Linked DNA regions of Struthio camelus. The protein of the gene in region 1 interacts with the protein of each later gene in a biochemical or structural test. Links are inferred from orthologs where the notes say so. Each region holds a gene or a part of one and is shown on either strand. Other genes may lie near its edges.

Evidence for each region. The genes of interacting proteins can lie anywhere in the genome.
Region 2: the proteins of CCKBR (region 1) and CCK form a complex in vitro, tested with the Homo sapiens proteins (3 studies listed by BioGRID). The link is inferred for Struthio camelus from reciprocal best matches to the Homo sapiens genes CCKBR and CCK.

What each region holds. Positions count from the first base shown.
Region 1 is NC_090942.1:225,047,467-225,054,309, reverse strand, and holds the start of CCKBR (gastrin/cholecystokinin type B receptor), read right to left. Parts: upstream 3,003-6,843; 5' UTR 2,967-3,002; coding exon 2,798-2,966; intron 1-2,797. Other genes in the region: CNGA4 (cyclic nucleotide-gated channel alpha-4), read right to left, coding at 5,297-5,350, 5,815-6,446, 6,526-6,843. UniProt on the Homo sapiens protein: Receptor for gastrin and cholecystokinin. The CCK-B receptors occur throughout the central nervous system where they modulate anxiety, analgesia, arousal, and neuroleptic activity.
Region 2 is NC_090943.1:51,798,738-51,806,249, forward strand, and holds the start of CCK (cholecystokinin), read right to left. Parts: upstream 3,014-7,512; 5' UTR 2,925-3,013; exon of another isoform or gene 2,804-2,924; intron 1,823-2,803; 5' UTR 1,821-1,822; coding exon 1,565-1,820; intron 1-1,564. UniProt on the Homo sapiens protein: This peptide hormone induces gall bladder contraction and the release of pancreatic enzymes in the gut. Its function in the brain is not clear.

The sequences.
Region 1 (6,843 bases):
TGGAGCTGTGGAGCCCCCAAGCCGCGGAGCTCCGAGCAGTGGAGCTGTGGAGCCCCCAAGCCGCGGAGCTCCGAGCAGTGGAGCTGTGGAGCCCCCAAGCCGCGGAGCTCCGAGCAGTGGAGCTGTGGAGCCCCCAAGCCGCGGAGCTCCGAGCAGTGGAGCTGTGGAGCCCCCAAGCCGCGGAGCTCCGAGCAGTGGAGCTGTGGAGCCCCCAAGCCGCGGAGCTCCGAGCAGTGGAACCATGGAGCCATGGAGCTGCGGAGCTCCGAGCCGTGGAGCCCCCAAGCCGCAGAGCTCCGAGCTGTGGAGCCGCAGAGCCCCGAGGCGTGGAGCTGTGGAGCCGCAGAGCCGGGTGGTGCCGTGCGGGGTAGGGGGTCCTGCTGTCCTGCAGTCTGGTGCCGCTTGGGCACGCAGCCCCCCCGGGCCAGTGACTGGGACCTGGGACTGTGCTGTGGGCACCAGCTGGTGTGACAAACCAGACCCAGATGCAGCAGGGATGGGGCACTGTGGGATGCTCCGGGCTGCGTGGAGGCAGGAGCATGGGGTGCACCGTGTGCACGGTGGGATGAACGGAGCTGCTTTGGGGAGGCAGACAGGACACAGGGGGGCGCACTGGGGTGCACCGGGCGGGTGGACACGGTGCACAGCAGAGTGCACAGGAGGTGTATGGTGGGGTGAACCAGGCAGGTGGGCAGCACATTGGGAGGTGTGGGGTGCACGGGGGGTGCTCCAGGCAGGTGGATGGGACGCACGGCAGAGTGCGCAGTGGAGCGTGTGGCACGGTGTGCAGGAGGGGGCACCATGCAGGTGGACGGAGCACAGACTGGGGTGCACAGGGGGGTGCATGAGGCAAGCAGACGGGGCGCACGGAGGGTGCACCGGGCAGGCAATGGGGCGCACAGGGGGGTGCACCGGGCAGGCAGTGGAGCGCACGGGGGGTGCACCGGGCAGGCGGACGGGGTGCACGGAAGGGTGCACCAGGCAGGCGGACGGGGCGCACGGGGGGTACACTGGGCAGGCGGAGGGGGAGCACGGAAGGGTGCACCGGGCAGGCGGACGGGGCGCACGGGGGGTGCACCGGGCAGGCGGACGGGGCGCACGGAAGGGTGCACCAGGCAGGCGGACGGGGTGCATGGGGGGTGCACCGGGCAGGCGGACGGGGCGCACGGGGGGGTGCACCGGGCAGGCGGACGGGGCGCACGGGGGGTGCACTGGGCAGGCAGTGGGGCGCACGGGGGGTGCACCGGGCAGGCGGACGGGGCGCACGGGGGGTGCACCGGGCAGGCAGTGGGACGCACGGGGGGTGCACCGGGCAGGCGGACGGGGCGCACGGAAGGGTGCACCAGGCAGGCGGACGGGGTGCATGGGGGGTGCACCGGGCAGGCGGACAGGGCGCACGGGGGGTGCACCGGGCAGGCAGTGGGGCGCACGGGGGGTGCACCGGGCAGGCGGACGGGGCGCACAGGGGGGTGCACCGGGCAGGCAGTGGGGCGCACGGGGGGTGCACCGGGCAGGCAGTGGGGCACACGGGGGGTGCACCGGGCAGGCGGACGGGGCGCACGGGGGGTGCACCGGGCAGGCAGTGGGGCACACGGGGGGTGCACCGGGCAGGCGGACGGGGCGCACGGAGGGTGCACCGGGCAGGCGGACGGGGTGCATGGGGGGTGCACCAGGCAGGCGGTGGGGCGCACGGAGGGTGCACCAGGCAGGCGGACGGGGCGCACGGGGGGTGCACCGGGCAGGCAGTGGGGTGCACGGGGGGTGCACCGGGCAGGCGGACGGGGCGCACGGGGGGTGCACTGGGCAGGCGGATGGGGCGCACGGAAGGGTGCACTGGGCAGGCGGACGGGGCACACGGGGGGTGCACCGGGCAGGCAGTGGGACGCACGTGGGGTGCACTGGGCAGGCGGACGGGGCGCACGGGGGGTGCACTGGGCAGGCAGATGGGGCGCACGGAGGGTGCACCGGGCAGGCAGTGGGGCGCACGGGGGGTGCACCGGGCAGGCGGACAGGGTGCACGGAAGGGTGCACCAGGCAGGCGGACGGGGCGCATGGAGGGTGCACCGGGCAGGCAGTGGAGCGCACGGGGGGTGCACCGGGCAGGCGGACGGGGCGCACGGGGGGTGCACTGGGCAGGCGGACGGGGCGCACGGAGGGTGCACTGGGCAGGCGGATGGGGCGCACGGAAGGGTGCACCGGGCAGGCAGACGGGGTGCACGGAGGGTGCACCGGGCAGGCAGTGGGGCGCACGGGGGGTGCACCGGGCAGGCAGACGGGGCACACGGACAGGGCACACGGAGGGTGCACCGGGCAGGCAGTGGGGCGCACAGGGGGGTGCACCGGGCAGGCGGACGGGGCGCACGGGGGGTGCACCGGGCAGGCAGTGGAGCGCACAGAGGGTGCACCGGGCAGGCGGACGGGGCGCACGGAGGGTGCACCGGGCAGGCGGTGGGGCGCACGGAGGGTGCACCGGGCAGGCGGACGGGGCGCACGGGGGGTGCACCGGGCAGGCAGTGGGGCGCACGGGGGGTGCACCGGGCAGGCGGACGGGGCGCACGGAGGGTGCACCGGGCAGGCAGTGGGGCGCACGGGGGGTGCACCGGGCAGGCGGTGGGGCGCACGGAGGGTGCACCGGGCAGGCGGACGGGGCGCACCGGGAGGCTCGGGCGCAGCGCCGGGAGCCGTGTCCAGCCGGGGGCTGTCCGGTCCCGTCCGGTCCCGTCCGGTCCGGTCCTGTCCGGTCCCGTCCCGTCCCGTCCCGTCCCGTCCCGTCCCGTCCCGCCCCGTCCCGGCTCACCTTTGGGCGCGGGGGGCCCGCGGAGGCCCCTGCGGAGGAGGTCGCAGGCGGAGCCGTTCCAGGCGTTGCCGGCGCCGGTGGCGTTGCCGGTGGCGTTGCCGGGGCCGGGGCCGGGGCCGGGGCGGCAGAGCAGCTCCTGCAGCGAGTCGTTGAGGCGCCGCGGGTCCATGGCGCCGCCTCAGGGCCGCCCCGCGCCCATCGCGCTGCCGCGGGCGGCGGCACCGGCACCGGCACCGGCTGCGGCAGCGGCTGCGGCAGCGGCGGCAGCGGCGGCAGCGGGGACGCGCGGCCCCGCTCGCTCCGGAGCCGCCGAGCGAGTGAGCGGGGGCGGCGCCAGCGGCGGCCGGGGCGGGGGAGCGGGCGGGCAGCGGGAGCGGGCGGGGGCGGCGGGGGAGGCCCGGGGGACCGAGGGGTGGAGGGGCCGCGCGGGATGGGGCAGCGGGGGCGCAGGGGGCGTTTGGGGGGACGGGGGGCGGTGGGATGCTGCAGGGGCATCGGGGGTGGAGGGGGCGTTTGGGGGGACGGGGGGCGGTGGGATGCTGCAGGGGCAGCGGGGGTGCAGGGGGCGTTTGGGGGGACGGGGGGCAGTAGGACGATGCAGGGGCAGTGTTGGTGGAGGGTGTATTTGGGGGAAGGGGGGACGGTGGGATGCTGCAGGGGCATCGGGGGTGCAGGGGACGTTTGGGGTGAAGGAGGGGACGGTGGGATGCTGCAGGGGCATCGGGGGTGGAGGGGGCATTTGGGGGGACGGGGGGCAGTAGGACGATGCAGGGCAGTGTGGGTGGAGGGTGTATTTGGGGGAAGGGGGGACGGTGGGATGCTGCAGGGGCATCGGGGGTGGAGGGGGCATTTGGGGGGACGGAGGGGCGGTGGGATGCTGCAGAGGCAGAGGGGGTGCAGGGGCATTTGGGGGGGGCGGTAAGGGGGTAAGGGGGGACTTGCGGGGATGCAGGGGGCGGAGGGGACAATGCCGATGCAGAGCGCGGGGGGGCTCGGGGGTGCAGCGCGGCGCGGAGCAGGCACCCGGCGGCGCAGGGTCCCGGCGCTGCCGGGTCCGGGGAGCAGATGCAGCGGCGACCGGCACCGGCACCGGCACCGGCACCGGGCCGGGGCGGCTGCGGGAGGCGGCGCGGGAGCCTCCCGGACCCGGCTGGGCAGCGCCGCCCGCGCCCCCCGCGGTGCCCCCGGCCCCCCGCGGTCCCTCCGCGCCCCCCGCGGTGCCCCCTTGCCCCCTTGCCCCCCCTTTCCCCCCGCGGTGCCCCCGGCCCCCCCGCCGCCCCCGCGCCCCCCTTGCCCCCCCCAGCGGTGCACCCGGCCCCCCGCGGTCCCTCCGCGCCCCCCGCGGTGCCCCCGGCCCCCTGCCGCCCCCGCCCCCCGCGGTGCCGCCGCCCCCCCCGCGGCAGCGGCTGCGGCCGCTCCCAGCCGCGAGGCCACGGACACGCGCGTTCGTGGGCTGGAGCCCCGGCGGTGCCGCGCGTGTCCCGCCCGCCCGCCGGCCGTGGGGCGGGCGGTGCCGGGGCCGGGGCCGAGCAGCCCCGGCGCGACCGGCTCTCCCGGCCCGGCGGCCCGCAGCAGCCCGAGGGCGGTTGCTCGGTCCGGAGCCGGGCTCGGCCCGCTGGAGCCCCGCTCGCCCTCCCGGTGCCCCGGGTGAGCCCCCCCGATAGCCCTGCCCGGTCCCCACCCCTGCCCCATCCCTGCCCCTTCCCCTATCCCTGCCCCGTCTATCCCTGTCCCCCTCCCTGCCCCAATCCCTATCTTTTAGCCCTGCCTCTAGCCCTGTTCCTGTCCCTACCCTGCCCCATCTCTGTTCCTATCCCTGTCCCTGTCCCTCTCCCTGTCCCTTCCCCATCCCTGCCCCATCCTTGTCCTTGTCCCTGCCCTGCTCCGTCCCTCTCCCTGCCCCATTTCTGCCCCAATCCCCATCCTTTAGCCCTGCCTCCAGCCCCTGCCCTTGTCCGTGTCCTTATCCCTGCCCTTACGCCAGCCCCAAGCCCTGCCCCATCCTTATCCTTGTCCCTATTCCTGCCCCTGCCTTTGTCCTGCCTTTCCCTCACCCTGCCCCTATCCCTAACCCTGTCCCTGCCCCTCTCCCTGCCCCATCCCTCTCCTATCCCTGTTCCTGTCCCTGCTCCTATCCCTGCCCCATCCCTATCCCCATCCCTGCTCCTATCCCTGCCCCTGCCCTGTCCCTGCCCCTGCCCCTATCCCTGTCCCTGTCCCTGTCCTTGTCCCTGCCCCTGCTCCTTCCCCTGTCCCTGCCCGGCCCGTGGACCTGTTCCTGCAGCTATTGTTGTTCTCCGGTAGCAACTGTCTTTATTGTTCCCCAGCAAGTTCTAACAGTTACGCAGCAACTATTGTTACTGTTAGTTACCAGCTGTTGTCATTGTTACCTAGCACCTATTGTCAATGTTACATAGAACTTGGTCACTGTTACTTGGCAGTTGTTGTCATTGTTACTTAGCAACTGCTGTCATTGCTACCTAGCAACTACTGTCAATGTTACCTAGCAACCATGGTCACCGGTTCCTCACACTGCACCCGGACGAGGAGTTGCTGCCGGTTAACCCTCAGCGCCGGGTGGCTGTGCCCCGCATGCCCTGCACCCCCGCGGAGCCCCGTCCCCCAGCAAGACCCCGTCCCCCGGCATCGCCCCGTCCCCCGGCATCGCCCCGTCCCCCAGCAGGACCCCGTCCCCCAGCAGGACCCCGTCCACCAGCAGGACCCCGTCTCCCAGCAGGACCCCGTCCACCAGCAGGACCCCGTCCCCCGGCATCGCCCCGTCCCCCAGCATCACCCTGTCTCCCGGCAGGACCCTGTTCCCCGGCAGGACCCCGTCCACCAGCAGGACCCCATCCCCCAGCATCACCCTGTCCCCCAGCAAGACCCCATCCCCCGGCAGGACCCTGTCCCCCGGCAGGACCCCGTCCCCCAGCAGGACCCCGTTTCCCAGCATCATCCTGTCCCCCAGCAGGACCCCGTCCCCTGGCAGGACCCCGTCCGCCGGCATCACCCTGTACCCCAGCATCGCCCTGTCCCGCGGCATCACCCTGTCCCCCAGCAGGACCCCGCAGCGTGGCAGGCACCTGCGCCCTGGTGGGACCTGGTGCCCCACTGGGACCTGGTGCCCTGGTGGGACCCTGTCCCCCAGCAGGACCCCGCGGCGTGGCAGGGCCCTGCACCCTGGTGGGACCTGGTGCCCCACTGGGACCTGGTGCCCTGGTGGGACCCTGTCCCCCAGCAGGACCCCGCGGCGTGGCAGGCCCCTGGGCCCCAGCAGGACCCGGTTCCCCGGCAGCGCCCCGCCGCCGGAGCCGGCGCTCCAGGCGCTCGATGCGCAGCGCCAGCTTGAAGGCGCTGGACTCCAGCTGGGCCAGCAGCCGGGCCACCCGGGTCTGCAGCCCCTCCAGGGCCGCCTCCAGCGCCCGCGCCCGGCGCTCGGCCTCCTCGGCCGCCGCCGCCGCCGCCGCCTCGGCGTGCACGTCCAGCTTGTCCAGGCGCAGCAGGATCTCGCGGCCCTTGGCCTCCATCATGGCCCGGGCGCTGGGGAACTCGGCCAGCACCTCCCTCAGGTCCTCCTTGGAGAGGCAGAAGAGGTCCGAGTAGCCGATGCTCTTGATGTTGGCCGTGCGCCGGTTTCCCGACTTGTTCCCTGGGGACGGGGAGGCCGCGGTGAGGCGGGGGGCGCAGGAGCGGGGGTCCCGCGGCAGGGGCCGGCGCCCCGGGCTTACCTTTGATGTTGATGAGGCTGATCTCGCCGAAGTAGAGCCCCTCGCCCAGGACGGCGAGCTGGGTGACGCCGTCGTCGGCCACCACGGCCAGCCGCCCCTCGCGGACGAAGTACATCTCGCGGCCGACGTCGCCCTTGCGGCAGACGAACTCGCCGGGGCTGAAGACCTGGGGCCGCAGCTTGAGCACCAGCTCCTCCAGCACGCCGCGCTCGCAGCTCTGGAAGAGGGCCACCTTGCGCAGGGCCGGCAGGTGCACGCTGGCGGCCACCTCGGCCCGCAGCCGGGCCGGCAGGTGCCGCAGCACCCCCCGCTCCTCCG
Region 2 (7,512 bases), on another chromosome or scaffold:
ATGATGTCTCTCAGAATAAAAACAACTTTTTCAGTTGTTTCTAATTTGATCATACTCCGTGTATACAAATGAGTGTGTATGCCGGCATACATAAGTATAAAATGCACATGATCTCTTAATTGCAGACCTCCTTCAAAAATAAGGAAAGGATTCTGCCTAGTGCAGGGATCAGCAGTGAGGCTACCAGGAGGGGAAGATGAAGTAAACTGCACAAGGTAATGTGGAGAGACAGGAGAGGAGAAAGCCATTACTTACGTAAAGTGAACTTCATCCTAAACAGAGCCTGGGTCTGTGAGTTAAGCAATTGTGTCCATATGGACACAATGTCCATATGTCCAGGTCATCATAATTACTGTCTCTCTCTTCAGCCCTCTATGCTTCTAATATGTCCTTTTTCCCCTGCAATACCAGAGATAGACCAGCCAGAAGCTATAGCAAGTAAACAAGATTTGTGCAACTCCACAAGTTGCGTGGTGGCTTTTGCTGAGGCTGGCAGCCATCTCTCTCCCATGGAGTCGACAGCAATTAGGTTGCCCGCAGTGCTACTCTACTCAGACAGAAAGCAATACACAGATGAGATACTTCAAAAGGAAAAGTGTCTTTTAGGAGAGTTTCAACGGGGAACTATATGAAACCATTTTGATCCATCACATCTACTGATAGTACAGACAGCATATGTGTGTGTGCATGTAAAATATATACTTTTATTATACAGCTTTATTCTTTCCCTAGCTAGCTCATGTATGTAATACAGTTTCTTCCTTAAATGACTATATCACATAAGAAAAAAATCAAGCCCTCAAATTCCATTACTCTTGTCAGTGCTTCACACCCTGTTACAAATGCAGTGCCATGGAGGTTTTAAGTAACTGCAAGATTCTGTTGTACTCCAAGGCTGCCTGGGACTCAAAACCAAATAGGAATTGACACATTTTGAAGCAAACACTTTTATTTACCACTGCTTTAGCACTGTGTTCATAAATGCAAGTTCCGATCTTTCAAAAGCTCGCATGCTTTTGTAACTTCTCCCTGAGAACAACTACATGGAAAGTCCAATACTCAGAAGATTTCCCTGTTGTGGATGTTCCTGGCTGAGGAAAGATTAGCCATTTGGTCTGTATTTAGCCACAGAAAAGCTTTCCTGCTCTCCTAACTTCAAAGAGGAATGGAGGTTTTTTAAATGAAAAAGTTCAAGAAAATGCAATTACTAGATTTTGGGTGAAATAAAACATGCTGCAAAACATACCAAAATAATTACAAGGCTATGAAAATAAGTGAAAATAAATAAATAAATGCTCAGCTAGAACCTGACAGGGAGGTTTAAATTTTCCTGTTACCTGTACCCAGCTCTCAGCCAGTGGATGATACGTGAAAAATCTTTTTGGCAGAGTTTTGCAACAACAGAAAAGGAGAATGCTCTCTACTTCAGGAATAACTAGGCAAAAATCTACCTCCTATCTTCTGTGGTAATCCATGCTGGACTATGACAGGGTTCCCTTAACATCTAGGTTTTTCTGAAGGAAACTCCACTAACGCAGAAGCAGCATAGGAAGTAGGCTATTACCTTTTCTGGCTTGCTGGAGATACTTGGCCAACAAAGCACCAATGTTAGCTCTTTGGTCGATGCTTCCATCCAGCCGCGGGACAGGTTTCAGCGGGCCGGTGGATGAAGGGGCGCGGACGTGCCGGTGATGCTCTGTCAAACTCTGCTCAAGCTCGGCAGCCAGTGGATTCCCATTGTGTGAGCCCGCAGTCTGCTGCCCGAAAGAGCTTGCTGAGAGCACAGCAAGGAACACGCAGATGCATATACCACTGTACATTGCTGGAGAGAATAGGAATCAGGGGTTAAAACGATCAGATATTTTATGTTATCCCCACCTTCATTTTTGGAGGCAACGGCTTCTGAGCAAGCTTTTTTTTTTTTTAAACAGGGATAACTGTGGGATCAGCATTAAGCTGGAAAACATGTACATTAATAGTTAAATATCCCTGGGTAAGAGGCAGAAGCATCTGTGGGCTGTTAAGTAACACAGGAAGGGATAAAACCAATTCACTGTGCTTTGTGCAGCATCTCCTTGATTCACTCCATTCCTCCTCGCTTTTCTGGAAGCTGCATTTCACTAAAACATAAGAAACACATCCAGCTCCGAGGAAAATCCCAGGATTAAAAAACACCACTATTCCGCTGTTGTGCTAAAACCCACTGTTACTGCAAATACTTGATTTTGAAAAGTTTTACGGAGCCATTACTTCGAGCAACCTTTCTTTGGTTTGAACTGCAGCGCTCAAGAGGCTTTATCTTGTCACACAGTGAGGAGGAAAGCAGCCACAGAAGGAAAATAAAACCAAAATCTATAACCTCCCCCCCAGCACTGGATCTAACCGTTGAGGTGGTAAAAGCTGGTCGGGAGTAAGAAATAACGTGCAGCGTGGCAATACTCTTCTTGATGTAAAGCAGAGAGCTCAAGTGTAATGATTTTTGTTTGCTGCTTCCTTAAGGAAACGAATATTAGAAAAAACGATGTCCTTTCGCTAGATTATTTGATTATATAAACGGACACAGGCTTTTCTTCCGGACACATAAAAATTACTCTCCGTAAAAACAGGCGAAACAACGTAGCTAAAGCTTAACGCTTTAAGGCTACTTCCCACTTACACAAGTTACCTGCACGGGAGCTGGTGACTCAGTTTAAGTTCCTGAACAGCGCACCGAACAACCGCCTTACAATTTCATAAGAAGGGCAAAAAAAAAAAAAACCAAAAAAACACGAAGTTCATTCGCCACCCCCCCCACCCCGTATACCTTAGACCGAAAACACTGGCAGTGCGCAAAACCCGACCTTTCGGCAGGGCGGGAGAGGAAATCAAAGCGCCACTGAAGTCCCACTCCAGCCCGCCGCGGGGTGCCGGCCGCCGCCGCCTACCTGCCGCTGCGCCGCCGAGGCCAGACCCGAGGGAGCGAGGCCGTGCGCGCCCAGGCTCGGCACTCAGTCAGGGCCGCCTCTGCCGCCGGCCCCTTAAATAGCGGCGGCGGCTGTTTGCACAGCTCTGACGCAGCCGCCGCCGCCCGCCGGGCCGGGGGGAGCCGGGTCGGGGGCCGGGGGGGGGGGAGCGGGGCGCCCCTCCCCGAGGCGGCGGCGGTTGGCGCCGTTGGGCTTTGCCTGGCCCCCGCCGGGGCGCGTCGGGCTCTCAGCCCTCGCTGAGGTGAAACTCTCAGCCCGAGCGCCGGCTGCCTGGCGGCTGGAGATTTTAAAACTACACCTCAGCCAAGGGATTCTCCCTCCCCCCCGCCTTCCCTCAGCCCAAACACGGCGGTGAGGGGCTGCCGGTGGCGGCTCCTGCCCGGGGGCGGCGGGTTTTTCACTCTTGACACGCGCCGGCGTTTATTTTCGGGGGGGAAGAAACGGTTCGGGCTTTTCTCGGCTGTGCCGAGCGCACCCTCCCGCCTGCTCAAGGAGAAGGGGCCCCTCATTTTCTTTTGAAAAGCCCCCAGACCTCGAGAGGGGAAAGGGAACACCGACCCCCCCCCCCCCCCCCAAGTGGGGCCGAGCGGGCTGCAGGGCGCCACGGGCAGCGATGGCGCTGGGCTCCGGCGTGATCCTGCCCCGCTGCTCAGGCTGCCACCCCGGCTCCTTCGTCGGCCAAAGAGCCTGGCTGGCTGACCAGGCACCGAGCCTCCCCTGGGAGCCGCGTGTCGGCGGCGGCTGGGCCGGGGGCCGGCCCGAGGGGCACCCCGCTGAAGCAGCAGCTCTGGGGACCCTCCAGGGCCGGGCGCAGCGCCCCTAGGAAGGGGCCGCTCTGGCGGGAGCCGCCCTTGCTCCCCGTCTCCTCGGCACCGCCGCGGGACGAGCCCTGCCCCGGGCCTGCAGGGGCATCCCAGCGCCAACCGCCTGCTGTGCAAGAGAGGGGTCAAGTCATCCGAAAGGCAGAAACCCCGTGGCAGGAAGGTGCCCCACAGCGGGCCAAGAGAAAGCCAGCCTGCTGCTGCCAGGAAGGGCCGCTGAGCCGCTTTCTCCCAGGCGCTGTCACTTTTGCGGGGCAGCTCCCTCACCGCCAGGCCCCGTCCCCACCCAAACCGGACCCCTGCCGCTCCCTGTGTCGCCCGGCTGCGGCACACTGGGCGCAGGGAGAGCAGCCACCGGCATCCCGGCGCAGCTGGTAGCGCTGCTGGCCTGAGAGGGGTGTTGTGGCTTCGCCTTGGTGGGGAGAGTGGTGGGGGTGATGGGGATGGTGGTGGGATGGGAGGTGATGGGGACAGTGGTGGGACGGGGGAGCGGTGGTGACAGTGGTGGGACAGCAGGTGATGGGGACAGTGGTGGGACAGAGTGTGATGGGGACGGTGGTGAGACAGGGTGTGATGAGGATGGTGGTGGGACGTTGGGTGATGAGGACAATGGTGGGATGGGGGTGATGGGGATGGTGGTGGGACAGTGGGTGATGGGGACAATGGTGGGATGTGGGTGATGGGGATGGTAGTGGGACAGAGGGTAATGGGAACAGTGGTGGGACGGGGGAGTGATGATGGTGGTGGGACGGGGTGATGGGGATGGAGGTGCACAAGCTCTGTCACTGTGAGCCTCTAACCAGGATATTTGTCACTGAACAGGATGTTCTGACTGAGCTGTGGACTGCTTTTTGTCTTCCCACATAAGTGCCAGCGCTGGGTGAAGTTGCCATCCCAAGGAAGTTAAAAAACAAACCAAAACCAAAACCTACTTTGAAAACAGAAAAGTAAGTTGAAGTGGAATTGTCAGAGCAAAGAAGAACAACACTGAAATACTTCCAGCAATTCCCTCCAGGGGAATGGGCTTGTTTAATGGCTCTGTCTTTGAATAAACCAATAATACTGCTGATAACTCAGTTTCACTATTTGGCCCTGGTGGGAAAAATGCTCACTGATATTAGACGATTAAATAGTCAAGAGTCAAACTGTACGTTCTTGGGAAAAGTATCACAATCTTTCTGGGAAAGTACAAGACAGTAGCAATTCTAGTAGAGTCATATCAAGTCCCTGGGAAACTCAGTGTAGATAATGAGTTCTCAAAGGACCAGTCCAAAGCTTAATAGAAGAGAATGACAGAGAACTTAGTAATACATGCTATGCATAATTTGTATTACAGAAGTATAAACATAAATGCAAACATTTAATCTGACACATTTATCTCTGTGAACAAGTTCATTTACTTTGAGTTGATTTGGAATATTAGTTCGATTATTAATTTGTCTTTGTAAAAGTCCGCAGAAGGTTCCCTTTGGTTCAAATTGGCAGAAGTTGTGTATTTCTTGACAGGTAAATTTCACTATGCAATAAGACAGGGTATCCATTGAATGTAAACATTTACAGTTCATAAAGCTGCTGCTGCTGAGTCTGTTGTGTCTTCCTGTCACTGTTTCTTGAAACTCCAGGGCTCCACATGAGCAGAGAGAAAGCCTCTGTGTGTGGAGAGGGAGCGGAGCAGCCAAGCTTACTGAACTGTATGTTCACATGGGAATACAGGACAAAAACATCAGAATATGCTTAGTGGCATAAAAATTCAAATAGTGAAGATAGGAATGTCTGCTGGACATTTACATGCATATAAAAATTGTACGGGATCTCTGTGCTATTAAAAGATCATATACTACCTTTTTCGCTGTACCTCTGAGTCGATCAAATATCTGTGCTTGCAATGAAAGAGTCAGAGATTCAACAGTGTGAGTTCAGCAGGAGATTTCCTGCCTCATGCTACCCATGTGCTCTCTTATACTACTTGCAAAACCCTCTTTCTTTTCCCTGTTTAGGCATCATGGTGTATGAATAAAATTAGTGAGGCTACAGCATCACGTCAAGTTATTAAAGTCAGTGGTACTGCACTGTCAAAAACTGTAACTTTGATTATAGATTTCTGAATACTAAATTCTCCCCAGTGAGTTCCTTAATACCAGTATGTAAAAGTCTTAGAAATCATTTTCTGATTTATTGATGTTACCTTCAGTAAAAGTTTGAAGTGGTGTGAAACCACTAGTTCTTGCTAAATAAGTGTCAATTTGGCATTTTAGTGTTATTTTAGACAGATAAGGGAATGGAAAGCCTGTTACAGGTTGAAAAACGTGATCATAGGACTTTGGCACTTGGGATAGCTTAGGCTGTGTATTACTGACTGATGTGGCACAAAACGGAAAGAATCAGCATTTGATTTGCAGTACTCTGTTATGGTTCCAGGACCCAAGTTTTCATGAGTTGCTCGTCCTAGACCTGCACCACGTGTCTGTAGACTGTTAACTGCAGGTGGGTCTTGTGCTGCCATTACAATTGGGGCGAACTACGTACTGCTGTGGTGCGTGACTTCCTCGGGGGGGCGAAACTGTTTTGATTGAACCAGAGCTTGAGCAATACTGCTAGACTCCAAGTATAGATGCAAAACAAATTTACACCCAACAAGAACCCTGCAATGCAGTAAATCATTAAAATAGATGCACCTCTTAGGTAGCAGCTAGATGACACTGTAGTTTAAAGGCTGCAAGCTTTTTTAAATAGGTTTTCTGGTAAGCTTCTGTTAAAGGATCTGAGCTTTTCCACCTTTCCCCCCATCACAATCCAGATATTTCTACCCTCAACTGCTTTATTTATTTATCTGCCAAAGATTTTCCCCCATGTAGCAGAGGTGGCAAAAGAGAACGTGTGGTTGAGTATAAGCTGTTCTGGTGTGAAGCTCAGAGATGGGCTTGAAGCAAGAAGTGAGCGTGAGCCCCAAGGGACGGGCACATATTTTCTTATGCCTGTTCTGCAAGAGAGGTGGCCGGTGCCAATAGCAGAGTGCAGCAAGGCGCTGTGAGCATTAATATCTCATCGTCTCTCTGCTGCTGAGCTGGTCTGTGAGTGGCAGAAAGTGGCAAGGAGCTTGGAAACGCCCTGCTCTTTCCTACTGTAGTGAGCATGCAATTGCGGTGCAATGCCTCATTTCCATCAATGTGCATGTGACTTTTGTCTCTTTAGTATGTGTTTTTCATGGCAATATCATGTGCAGTTTGCAACAGCACAGTTGCCATGTGGACAGCATAGCAACTTCTGATGCCTATATCTGATGCCTTTTCTTTTTAGCCCAAAAGGAAACATATGGATCTTACTCACTACGTGTTATTGCGTGGCTTTGGATTCTAAGACTTTTTAGGCTGAATACTAAATGAGGAGTAGTATACTGACAAGTATTAGTATACTGGGAATTTAGGCTGTGAAGGATAAAGCCAGATGGCTATCTTGTGGGACTTGAGGAAACCCTGTGCCCAGGAGGGTAACAAGAAACATATTTTTTCCTTTCTGAGTACTATATCCTTTTCTGATTATCACTATGCAGTGTTTTTTTGCTTTCCTTTGGACCTTGATACTTAATGGTAATATGCTTTGCTATGTTGGAGTAAGTTTATTTTTTCTGTGTAATCGATGGAGCGGTGGCTGGGGTGTTTAGAATGAAGTAGCAAGAATTAGCAAAGGGTAGCAGGGAGAGGAATGGTATAATTTTCTGGAACGAACAG